Linked DNA regions of Coturnix japonica. The protein of the gene in region 1 interacts with the protein of each later gene in a pairwise test. Links are inferred from orthologs where the notes say so. Each region holds a gene or a part of one and is shown in the gene's direction. Other genes may lie near its edges.

The links.
Region 2: the proteins of FAM214B (region 1) and KIF20A interact in binary tests that used the Homo sapiens proteins (3 or more experiments, as listed by UniProt). The two-hybrid records come from large-scale screens. The link is inferred for Coturnix japonica from reciprocal best matches to the Homo sapiens genes ATOSB and KIF20A.
Region 3: the proteins of FAM214B (region 1) and FHL5 interact in binary tests that used the Homo sapiens proteins (3 or more experiments, as listed by UniProt). The two-hybrid records come from large-scale screens. The link is inferred for Coturnix japonica from reciprocal best matches to the Homo sapiens genes ATOSB and FHL5.

The regions. Positions count from the first base shown.
Region 1 is NC_029547.1:7,891,684-7,895,850, reverse strand, and holds the start of FAM214B (protein FAM214B), read left to right. Parts: upstream 1-1,367; 5' UTR 1,368-1,446; intron 1,447-3,878; 5' UTR 3,879-3,961; intron 3,962-4,167. UniProt on the Homo sapiens protein: Transcription regulator that may syncronize transcriptional and translational programs.
Region 2 is NC_029528.1:11,877,661-11,881,684, reverse strand, and holds the start of KIF20A (kinesin-like protein KIF20A), read left to right. Parts: upstream 1-1,224; 5' UTR 1,225-1,245; exon of another isoform or gene 1,246-1,406; intron 1,407-1,546; 5' UTR 1,547-1,553; coding exon 1,554-1,715; intron 1,716-2,702; coding exon 2,703-2,792; intron 2,793-2,903; coding exon 2,904-3,023; intron 3,024-3,472; coding exon 3,473-3,611; intron 3,612-3,700; coding exon 3,701-3,888; intron 3,889-3,971; coding exon 3,972-4,024. Other genes in the region: BRD8 (bromodomain-containing protein 8), read right to left, coding at 1-67, 675-771, 1,121-1,139. UniProt on the Homo sapiens protein: Mitotic kinesin required for chromosome passenger complex (CPC)-mediated cytokinesis. Following phosphorylation by PLK1, involved in recruitment of PLK1 to the central spindle. Interacts with guanosine triphosphate (GTP)-bound forms of RAB6A and RAB6B.
Region 3 is NC_029518.1:66,290,340-66,294,405, reverse strand, and holds the start of FHL5 (four and a half LIM domains protein 5), read left to right. Parts: upstream 1-1,266; 5' UTR 1,267-1,379; coding exon 1,380-1,463; intron 1,464-4,066. UniProt on the Homo sapiens protein: May be involved in the regulation of spermatogenesis. Stimulates CREM transcriptional activity in a phosphorylation-independent manner.

The DNA.
Region 1 (4,167 bases):
CTCATCTTCCTGGGGAAACACCCTGCTGGCAGCAGAGACATGGCCAGGGATGGTGCTGTGCCGTGGGTGGAAAGTGCTTCTTACAGCTTCCACATCTCCTCTGAGCCACTGTCCAAAGCTGTCCCGTGTCCATCCACTCACAAACAGCCACGATGCAGTGAGCGAGCAGGGAAATGGAGAGAATGAAAAAGTGGAATGTGCCTATTCTAAACATAAAGGCACCCTCACCCCACTGAGCCTGCAAGCATGAGCTCTCATGTCCTGCTCCTTAATCCTGCTTTTGGAGCTGAAGTTATGTTCTGCAAACCAGGGGAGGTTGCCAAGAGACTGTGCTTGGCAGGGACATCGCTTGCAAACCCTAAGCATTCCTAAATGGGAGGTAAATAACGTGGGATACCGCTAATCCTCCGCTGCCCACACAGCACATAGAGATGTATTATTCCTGCAGAGGACAAAGGAGCCCACATCTCTCAGCAACCGAGGGGCCAAACCAGCACATCACTCGTGTTCTCCGGGCTGATAACGCCTCATTAACCATTTGTTAACACCGAGCAGCTTCCAGCCATGAGCACAGGGCTGAGGATAGAAGGCCAAACCCACTCTGCCAGGCCCCAAAACAGCAGTAAGGAGACGTGTACCTGTGAGCACACAGCTGTGGTGGTGCTCATTGTGTACAACACCCTAAATGGCCCTGAATCTGCTGGAATTAGGGCAGTGCTGTGGCTGTGGGGTTAGGCCTGAGGTGGGGCATGTCCATAGGGAGTGGAGCACGCAGGGGATTGTGACTGGGAGGGGTTGTGTTGGTGGGGCTGTGTCTGTGGGGCAGGACAAGCTGTGTCCATGGGGGTCTGTGGGCTGTGAGGCTGAGAGTGTGGGACTGGGACAGGCTGTGCTCATGGAGGGGACACGCTGTGTCTGTGGGGTCTGTGGGGACGGGGATGTGTTGGGCTGCAGGCCGGGTGTGTGGGGCAGCGCTCACGGCAGGTCTGACAGGATGGAGGTTCTGACAGGATGGAGGCTCTGACAGGATGGAGTTTGCAGTCTGTGACTCGCTGTGTCTGTGTGACCGGCCCTGAGCTCAACTTGCCGCCGGGCCGAGGGCTCCCGGCCATGGCCGCCCCCCCCCAGCCCCGCGCCAGGCCCCGCCCCCTCCGCCCGCGGCCAATGAGGAGCCGCGCTGTGCGCGCCCGCCCCGTCCCCGCTGTCATCACACACCCGCACGTGGAGGGGGCGGGCAGGGGGCGGGGCTACAGGGCTGACCGTCAGCCCCTCCCCGCACTCTCATTGGTCGCCGGACCCCAGCCGTCCCCGAGTCCCGCCCTCAGCACCAATCAGAGGCGAGAGGCGGCCCGAGGGGGCGTGTCCTGGCGGACACCCGGAAGGAGCGGCCGGAGCCCGGCAGCACTCAGGGCCGCGGCGGAGCAGGAGGAGGAGGAGGGGGCGCTGGTGGGTCCGGCGGGGCGGTATTATGGGTTGGAACCGGGCCGGGACGGGCCGAACCGAACCGAGCACTGGGGGTGGGGGGCGATGCCCGGCGGTGAATGGGTTAATGCGCCCCGTCGGTTCCAGAAGCTTCGGGGGTGGCTGCAGTGCAATGGCCCTCGCTATAAGCCGCCCTGCGGCCGTGGCTGCGGGGCTCCGTGGCACCGGCGCTGCAGGGCCCGGCTGGGGGGACGCGGCTGATCCCGGCTCTTTGCGCCCTGCTGCCCTCTGCTGCTCGGGAGGGCGAGCGGGGACGGGGCAGCCGGGCCTCAGCGCAGCCAGGCACCGAGGGTACGGGGTGCTGCAGGTGGAGCCGGGAGGAAACGGCCCCGTGTGTGTGTGTGCGGCTGCTGGCGGCTCAGCCCCTCGGAACGGCGTTGGGACCCGCGGGGCTCGGCCGCCCCGAAGCGCCGCTGCCCGCTGTCTCGCAGTGCCGCTGTGTGCCGGCTCCGGGCAGGGCCCGGCGGGGGTAGCGCCTCCCGGCAGCTCCGCAGCGCCGGGACGTGGGGCCCCGAGCGGGAGCCGGGCTCTGGGTCACGCTGCGGCTGCAACGCGGCTTCAGCGTCCTCTGGCTCCCGGCCGAGGCTCGCGGCCCTTCGCTTCTTGCTGTGAGCCTGCACGCCAGAAGGGCTTCCTGCGGGAAGGGAAACTGCTGGCTGTGCCCCGTGCCGGGTTGTGGGAGCGCTTTCAAGCACGGTTCACCTGGCAGCTGGCTGGGCCGGGGAGCTCCCTGTGCTCTGTTCTTCCTCAGCATAGCTTTAATCTTACCTGTGGGATGGTTGCTTTGCCCTGGCAGCCCCTCATCTGATCTCGATGCCCAAGCCATGTGTGCTCCCTGCAGTACGTGCTGAGCTTTCCCAGTCCGCATTCCCTTGGCAGTTTCAGGTCTTCTCTGTTCCTGAGTACAGGGGAGGGAGCTCCCCCACCAAACTCAGCTGGCCTCGAAAGAAAGGGCAGCTCATAGGCTTTGCTGTACTCAGCCTCAGCCTTGCTGTGCTGCTGGCAGAGGGCATGGACACCCAGACCTGTTCTTTTCAGGCTTAGTCACTGTCCCTGAGTCTAAAGGCATTGTGAGGGGGTGGCTGCTGGTTTGACTCCTGAAAGTCAGTGTTGCAAGGCTCAAAACGGTACAGGCTGTTCAGAGGACCTGTGGGTGCACCATCCCTGGAGACATTCAAGTCCAGGTTGGATGGGACCCTGGGAAGCCTGATCTGGTAGGGGCAGCCAGCCCACAGCAGGAGGTTGGTCCTTGAGGCCCCTTCCAACCCAAGCTATTCTGTGATTCTAAGTCTCCCAACACATCCCCATTCCTTTCCCTGCCTTTGTCATTGTGGGCTGCTTGATCTCTTCTCCCACGAGGTTTGGTAGCATTGTCACACAGTGAGGATTTACATGGTGTCTGGGGCTCCAAAGGATTCTCTGCGTACAGAATGAGATGTGTCAACCTATGTGTGTGACAGAAGATGAGAAAGGAAAAAGTGAAGCCATATTGGTTTGAAAAATAGCATTCTCATGAAGGCGGTCATCGTAACTGTGTTGAAGTTATTGAATCCTTCAGTGGCTGGAGGGCTTAATGAGTCTGAAACTGGACAGGTGTGAAGGGCAATGTGGGTGAAATCCCAAAGGGAACTATTTGTATGTTAACAGATGGCTCACAGAGTGTCACTGTGGGTGACTGGCAGTTAAAGTCTTCTATGGGGGATTCTGATTGCTTTCCACCTGGCACTGCACCCAGCAACCCTTCCTGTGGTGGATCGTGTGGGTCCCTGTAAAGCAGCTGCACGTTTCCCATCCATCCTGTTTGCAGCACCTGCCCCCTCTGCTCCCTGGAGCCATCTTTTCTGACCTGCTCTTCTCCTTTGTTTTTCCATTTTGCTGCTTTGACCGAGCGAGTCAGGTGGCTGTAAGCTCCGGCGAACCTGGTCCCACAAACTCAATGGTTTTCTCTTTTCTTTGAGTCAGAAGTTTCCTTGGAAATCTTGGTTCCTCCCAAACCTTCTTCTGCGCACCCACAGAGGTGGAGCAAAGTGCAACTGTAGAAGTAGAGAGGAATAAAGCCATGGCATCTCACTAAGCTTGATATAAGGTGCTCGACTGCAGCAGTGCTGTCTGAAATCCAGCTCTAGCTCTTTGAGGAGACCAGCCTGGACTCACATGGGTGACTGGGGTGACAGTGGCAGGAGCCTGGTTGTAGGGGCAGCCTTAGAAAGGGTGAAAGAGCAAAGAGAATCATCACAGTACTGGGTTGCTCAGGGCTTCTCAGCTCTGTGCATGTGCTGTCAAACTTCTTGGCTTGGAATGTGACCAGACAGTGCTGGGAAAGTTGTCTTGTGGAGGCAGATTATTTATCTGCTGAGTTTAACACATATCTCTGCACCTTGCCTTTGTCTTTCCAGGTGACCCAACAGAGCCAGAACAAGCATCCCCAAAACCACGCTGCAGATGCTGAGAGCTGCTGTTCTGTTTTGCCTACTCTCAGGTTAGCACCTGTTTAATTGGTATTGTTTTTTTTTCCTCCTCCAGGACTGTTTGAGGAGGCCTGGGACCACAATCCCTTTTTCTTGCCTTTCCTCCATCCCTCTGTGCAGCAGGTGTCACTGGGCTGGCAGAGCCTGGGTTCTTGTCACCTGTGCTGCTAAGGCTGTTGAGCCCTGCGCAACATTGCAAGCTCAAGGGCAATGTATT
Region 2 (4,024 bases), on another chromosome or scaffold:
TTGGGAAAACCAATCAGGTGGGCGGCCTGGCTCTGCAAAGGGTTTGATGGCTCTGCTGACTGAGACCCTGCAGGGCAGAAATGGCACATGACTGCTCAATGAACCCACCCCAACAAACACACTATGAAAAGGTGTCTTAATTCTCATCACAGAACAGTCCCCATTAACACAATGGATCGACCAAGATGGAGTTTTTTAAGAGGAGTTAATCAACTGTGGTTTCTAGACTCAAAAGTATCTGCCTACTCCTAATGCAAGAGCTTCCATTTCTTGCTCTGAAAATCACATTCTAATAAATTAAATGAAAACTTCCCTTTGTGGGGAGATAATAGGCAGCAAAACCAAGCACAGGAAGAGCAAACATGGCTCTTGCACGTGTTACCTGGATGCAACTCTTCCTATTCAAGCTTGCTATGGTTTAAGAAGTGTCTGATAATGCTGCCTGTCTGAATTTGAATGGCTGTGTGTGGAGTCAATTGGACTCAGTGAGCCCTGAGTGCCCACTCCAACTCAGTACACACTATAACTCAACCTACAAACCTGTGCTCCGTACCAATTAATACACATCCCTTTTCACACACTACTCCAGAAGCAGCAGAGCCATTTCCAGACTCATACCTAACACCCCAACCCGCAGCACCCATAACACGAAGCTCACTGTGCCCACCCCTTACCAGTTCTGGTCTCCACTGCGCATGACGGACGAGGCGAGGCAGAGCTTCTCTCGGATGGACCATGGCTCGGTGGGGCCGGCGCTCAGCAGCTTGTGCTCTGTTGGGACAGCGGGCACAATGCAGTGCAGCACAATGCAGCACCCCACGGCAGGAGCCCCTCGGATCGAAGCCCCGCCCCCCACCCGTTGGCCCCGCCCCCTCGGAGCGAAGCCCCGCCCCCTCAGCCCGTTGTCCCCGCCCCCTTTACCTGACCCCGCCCCCCCACCCGTCGGCCCCACCCCCGCTCGGCCGTCGGCCCCGCCCCTCCCCTCAGCCCCCCTCAGCCTCCCTCGGTCCCCCTCAGGCCTCTCCCCGGCCTCTCCCCCGCCCCATCACCGTGCCTGCGGACCGGCTCCGTCCCTCCTCCCCGGTCCCACCGATTCTGTTCCCCCTCTCCCCTCACTCACTCCCCGTTCCCGCCGCCATCTTGCCCTCGGCCGAGCTGTGGCGGGGCGGAGTTTTGCGCACAGCCCGCCGGGAGCACCGAGCGCACAAAGCCCCGCCCTTCCTGTCTGAACACGGCTTCTGATTGGTGAGCACGAAGCCGCGGGCTGCTATTGGCGGAGGGAGCGGGCGGCGAGGTTTGAAACCTCAACAGTATCGGCAGCGCAGCCGGGAGGTGCGAGCGGGGAACGGGGAACGGCCGGTTGTGGGGGGCTGGAACGGGCCGAGAGGTGGGAACGGGCCCCGGGGGTGAGGAGAGACCCCGGGGGGTGGGGAACGAGCGCTGTGTAACGGCCTGTCCGCAGCTGTGCGTGTGTAGAGCGAAGGTTGGGGCTGTGTGCTGCTGGGGCCTGCTCGCTGCTCTGCCATCACCTCGTTCCTTCCCTCAGGGTCGCCATGGATCGAGCGCTGCTGTCCCCGGGGCTGTTCTCTGATGATGATGGTGCTGCCGCCTCCCCCGTGTTGGAATCCACGGCTGCAGGGTTCGGTGCTGATGTGCGCAAGGATCTGCTGTCTGAGTTCTCTGCTATCTCCCCTGGTCTCGAGGGCAGCCAGCAGGTGAGGATGGAGCCCTATTACCCGCACTGTGTGTCATAAGGGCTGTGTTCTGTGCTCAGTGCTAAGTAATTCCACTACACGGTCAAGAAGAGTCTCTTGTTACCTGCAGCCTACTAATGAAGGGCGCAATTAATGGATGCCCCTTAGCTCAGTGAAGAGTGAGCAAAGCCCCCAGAATGGAGGCAAGGTAACGCTTTGCTATACTAAGGGAAAAGGGAACTTCACAGAAACCAAGACAAAGGGTAAATGTAGATAGTTTACATTTAAAAATGCAGGAAAAGGGGGAATGACAGACACTTAGTCAAAATAAAGCCAGAGAAGAGGGCAATAAAGATAAGAAGAAATTGTCCGGAGACCTCTGACAAGGAGGATTAGATCCCCCCCCCCCCGGGCAAGATGATGCTGACATGGGAGAACAATAACAGCAGATAACACCAAGAAGAAAACAGAAGAAGAATTTCACCCCATAATAACAGCAAAGGTTGTGGGAAATGGGATCAGGAGGAATGAAGGAATGGGGTTGTGAGGAATGAGGCCATAGGGAATGTAATGAATATGTAATCAAACTGAGGAGGAGGCTATTGATTATGTATTAGCTTGACCTATATATCTAACACACTTTTCTCCTTACGGTGTGCAAGTTTGGAGGAGCTATCCCCCTTGCACCCGGCGCTGCACAACGCTGTGATAAACATACCTGCTTTATAACCCATCTCTGGATTATAGAGTTTGATTCTGCAAGTCACAGTGCTCAGTTCTAGGGCTGGATTTGGTGTCATGTCTTTGGATTCTTGTTCTGCTTCACTACACAAGGCAAAGATATGTTGGTGAACGTGGAAATGTATGGAAAGATGTTCTGGTGGTGCTTCTGAATTATGGAGTAACTGTGTGTCTTCCAATCAGTGACTCCTGTTATTGCTCTGGGCCTGGCAGATAGCTGTGTACTGTCACTCTGGCTGCTGTGTTTAACCTGTACAAGTTTTGCAGGCTACTGCTGAAGATGTTAATGGGAAACTGAAGGTGTATCTGAGAGTTCGACCCCTGAAACCTACAGAGCTGGAAAAAGGGGAAGACCAGGTGAGATCCTTGATAAACCACTTGTGTTTGTCCTTTACTGGGAGAACCAGTTTTCCTTTGCTGTCATGTCATAACCTCTTGTAAGCCACTGTGATTTATTTTTTCTTTCAGGGTTGTGTCTTCATTGAGAGTTCAGAGACCCTTCTTCTAAAAGCCCCCAAAGACTCCTTCACCATGCGGAGCACAGAACGTGGAGTGGGACAAGCAGCACATAGGTTCTCATTTACTCAGGTAGGTAACTGGGACAGACAACAGTTAATCCAATTAAGAGGGTTTTGAGCTTAAACCAGCAATACTACTTAAAAAGCTGCCTTTTTACTACTAATAGCAGTACTCTGTATGAGCTGTGTTACTCTCTCTACTCATTTCTGATGTCTTCCTTATTGATTTATCTATTTTGAAATAGATTCTGCAAGCCTCAGCAGCAAATGCAAAGCTCTTATTTTGTTAATAAAGATTTAAATATGATGAAGACTGTAGTAATATTGTGTGTTACTGGACTAAGCAAGTGAACGGTCTGTTTCTATAGGGCTCTCAGGCTGGAGTTACTGGTAGGTTTGTTTGTGGTGGTGGAGGATGGAGGCCTTCATTAAGGACTAAGCAGTATTTGAACCATCAGCTGCAGTCTAAAAAGTAGGAAGGATCTACATAAGGCTGTTTTCTGTGTTGTTTTTTTGCAGATCTTTGGACCAGATGTGGGGCAGAAATTGTTTTTTGATGAAACAATGAAAGAGGTGGTAAAGGATGTACTGAATGGGCAGAACTGGCTGGTTTACACTTATGGCAACACCAATTCAGGGAAGACTCACACCATTCAGGGTAATGGGAGTATGAAGTGGTAGCAGACATCTGAAGTAGCTGTATGTATGTATTTCTGTTGAATCCATGGCTTCCTGTTCTTTCTTCAGGCAGCATCAAAGATGGTGGGATTCTGCCTCGTTCCTTAGCTGTTATCTTCAATAGTGTTGGGGACCGTCTGTACCAATCTATGGACCTGAAGCCTTCGCTCTGCAATGATGTGATCTGGCTGGACAGCAGGCAGGTTCGACAGGAAGAGACCAAGAAACAGAGCATGCTGCGAGGGGGCTTGTGGGAGGTAAGTACATTGCTTCCAGGAGGTTTACTAGGGAATGAATGATGTTCGACCACCTGGTCATGGCTTTTCTTGTTTCCTCATAGGAGGAGCTGTTAACATCACTGAAAAGGAGTCACAGTGCCGAATCTCAGCTTCA
Region 3 (4,066 bases), on another chromosome or scaffold:
AGGCAGGCAACGGCTAAAGGATGTTCCTGTGCTTTTCAAACTTTTTGGAAAGAACATTCTGTGTTGGAACTATTTTGCAGTGTCATTAGCTTTTTTGACAGATCAGTTTGGATAATATTTGCTTGCTCTGACTTGTGGGCTTCAAAAGGTACTTGAACAAGAATCGTGCTTTCAGCTTCTTTTTCTTTTTGGAAGTAAAGGCAAAAGGATGATTCACTTTCTGGCCTCATATTTGGACCTAAGTTGTCTTCTCCCTTCCCAATCCACGAAATTAGCAAGCTTGAAAAATCAGCATTAAAAGTGTTTGGCATAAACAAAGCTTATAGTTTGTACAAAGACAGGAGAAAAGAGTTCAATCTAGTTTGTATAGAAGAAATACACAAAGTGAGTGTGTGCGGAGGTTTAATAAACCAGTCAGCTGTGAATAGTGATGATGAATTCTTAGCAGTAACAACCAAATGATCAGTCTTAGTTGCAAGATACTGTTTACACATGGGTAACCACCAGAACTCATTGTCCAGATTTGCCAATTTTGCCAAAATCTTCATGACATATGTTTGAAATGTTCCCTTCTTTCTTTTGTCTGTGGTACGAAGCAGTTCTCTCCCACTTGACGTTATGGAGATGTTAGAAAGTCTTGTGCAAAGTATATGCTCTGTGTGCATCATGTATGTGATGGACTGCCTACAAAAGCTATCTGGTCCCTCTGTCCAATCAACAAGAGATGACTGCAGTATGATGTAGGCCAGAATTGAGGGATGCTGAGAGAGAACCTGGATGGGGCTGTTAACGCTATGGATGGTAATGCCTTACAAGCCATTTCCTGTGTAGTGGAAGCGAGGCAAGTTGTTCCAGCCCAGAAATCGCTTTAGTAGTGTCAGAGGAATTCAGCTCAGTCCCCAGAAGTCTTTCCTTTAATTGGAGAAGTCTTTCTCCTTCCCACCCACCCCCATTTCCTGTACGCAACAGTCATAGGTTAGTAATCACAACTTCTTCCCTTCTCGGAATTACAAGCCCAAGTGAAGTCTTTTGGATTCCTCCTTTGTGGGCCACAGTGTAGCTGGGGACGGATGGTGATCCATCATTTTATTTATTCTTTCTGCTAAAGAGTTTAAGGGTTTTGATTTTTGAGTTTTTAACAGAAGTACCTTTTTGACAACTGTCTGAAATACGTTCCTTTAAGATCCTCCTACACGGTATGTATTTGTGATTTGTAAGTGCACTATGTCAAAAAATGATTCAGTGGTGAGGCAGCGAGCTATTTGCATGTCATGAGGTCTCAGGGAAACAAACTGACCCTCAGCCTTCCATCCAGCCAAATTCTGATGGGACCCTCAAATAGCTCTGGCAAAGTGTTCTGTTTCTTTTGGACTTGATGAATGCTTGTTTCTGTGAAGACGTGTAATTATTTCTTCCTCTATTTTGCTGCAGAACTTACCAGGAGAAGCAGCTTAAAACCAAATGTGAGTATTGAAACTCATTTTCCTTACTCCCTTTATGTGATAGAACTGCGAATTTGAATGGCTACTGCTTCTTTAAATTGTATGCAGAACCTATGCAGATATAAGAAATGTTTGACTTTATGTACCAGAAGAGAAAGCAGACTTTTTCAGATGAAATAGTTTTTGTTTTATGAACTGGCTCGCTCATTAATGTGGGAGAACGTTGCTTGTTGTTTCCTTTGTCATGAGAGGGGGGTTAATTCTGTTTACTCCAAAGAACAAGCCAAGAAAATTGTATATACTGTTTCCTATGACATTTGAATCATTTCTATCTTTTAGCAAACCTTCGTAGCTATTTGCAATCACAAGAAATGTTGCAAAGCAGTGCCTTTTAAAATCAAATTGCAAATGCTTAACGTGGTGCCTGTTAAGTCACAAATATCATCATTGCCTAACATGGAGTGTTCTTGGTTTGTCTTTGAAGTAAAACCAGTTTCCAAGCTGGTGCTTCTATCAATATTTTAACTTGTTGTGGAAGTCATGTAGCATCTCAATATTCTGCATCAGTAAGATGTTTTCTTTTGTATGTCACATTTTTATCATATAACCTTGGTTGGTTTGGAATTTAAAGGAGAAGAGAATCAAAAGGCTGTAACACTGCCTACTGCAAGAGGTAACAAAGGGTAATTTAAAGACTACGTGTATTAATTGTGCTGATACCTGAGTTCACAGTGGCAATCATTTTGATAACAATTAATTTTGGAGGAAACTATCAGACATTATTTCCATTTTGGTCAAAGGAAATGCTGAAAACATTTTTGTCAAAGGTTCTGTTTTTACACCTGGAGCCAGACACAAACTCTCTTATATTTAGAAAACAAGTTTCAGATGCCTTCGTTGTGTTTAATATTTTTCTTCTGTGAACAGCTGCCATTTCTGAAATGCTTTAACAGAACAAGACAGATTTGATCTATTAATGTTACAACAGATCGCTGACGGACTTGCCATACATTTGATTGCAGTATCTCAAAAGTCACTTTGACTCACACTTGTGTAACTGGTAGAAACTTGAGGTGACACACTAACCTTCTTGCAAGATTAGAGCCAAATGAAAGCAAAAGCTGCTTGAAAGATATTCTGATCTATTGTGACCTTTGGTATCTCCAGGTTATTTGCAGGCAAATCACATTTTGTTAAGCGTGTTTGGTTAACTTGGTGAGATGTAAGTTCTTCCATAAAGCAATAAGCCCAGCTTTCTACATGTCTTTTTTTCCGTGCCTGAGTTTTATGTTTAAAACTTTCCATATTGCCTTACCATGAACAGACAGAAGCATGACAATCTTCACCAGAGTGCTTCCTAATGTCTGGGCTAGAATCAGAGGGTGAAATCCTGACTGTGCTGAGATGAGCAGCGCTCCTCTCAGCTTAACAATCTGTGGACTCTGTCAGGCTTTTATGTTGCCTAAAGAGTAAAACTGACCTAAGTTTTTCTGCATGTTTCCCTGTCACTTAAGAGTAAGACGATGTCTTATGTTTAAGTATAGGATGTTTATGAAGATAATGATTTCCAGCTCAGTTTTTCTATTAAAATCTCTAGAGACAAAGTTAGGGAATTGGATTAAGGAAATGCTGCTGGTATTCCATTTGTGGTCCTGCAGTGGAATTATTCTTCTGGGAATCTCCTAGCTTTAGTTAAGAGGCTGTGAGCTTCTCATTTTATATATTTATATTTTCCAATAAAGTGTAAGAGGGATGAAGTAAGGACGATTTTGTAGAAATATGCAGACATTACTCACAAAAACAATGAACCGATATCTAAAAATAAGTTCATAAAACCCCATGACATAAAAAAACCTCATGACATAAAATTCTGTAACAGAGATTATTACAAAGACTAACTTATCTGCATTGGTTGCCTCCATGATAATGACTAAGTTAAATTTCTCACTCTGGAGAGGAATTTTTCTCTCTCCCATAACTATAAAAAGTGCCTTGTGAGTTAGCCTCGATAGGCTTAGGTTAGCTTTTGTAATATCCCCATTTTCCTGAGATTGAACTATGTATATATCAGCTGTTATCCCCTCCTGTTTCCCTTTCTCAAATTAAGAGGGTTTATCTTTTTGTTTTATTTTACTTATTCCATAACAGTGGGTTACTTTCCCTGTCAACCATGGTTGCCTTCGAGTTTGAATTTGTTCTAGGTTCATATATTAGGACTGGTAATTCCTTACACATCTCAACATATTCCAGATAAGGCAGCCTGTTGAGATCCCTTAAGTCATAGCTGGCATGGGAGGCTGAACATCTGGCAAGTTTCATATGGTGCTTTCACCATCCTAGGCCAGTGCTATGACTACACCCTGACAACCAGATTTGCCTCATGGCAAAGCCGTAAAGACTGGCTGCATGCCTTCCCATACCTGCAGGTCTGCTCTATGACCTTGAGCAAGTCTCACCACTGTGTTTTCACTGCATTATCATTAGAAAAGCATTCTGAAGTCTTTGAAAAGAAGACTGAAAAATATCAGAGAGTTAAGTTATTGATCAGAAGCCCGCAGCAGTGTTAGGTAATACATGTATATATGAGGAGTGTTTCTCAAGTGACCTCTGCAGTTCCTAATTCA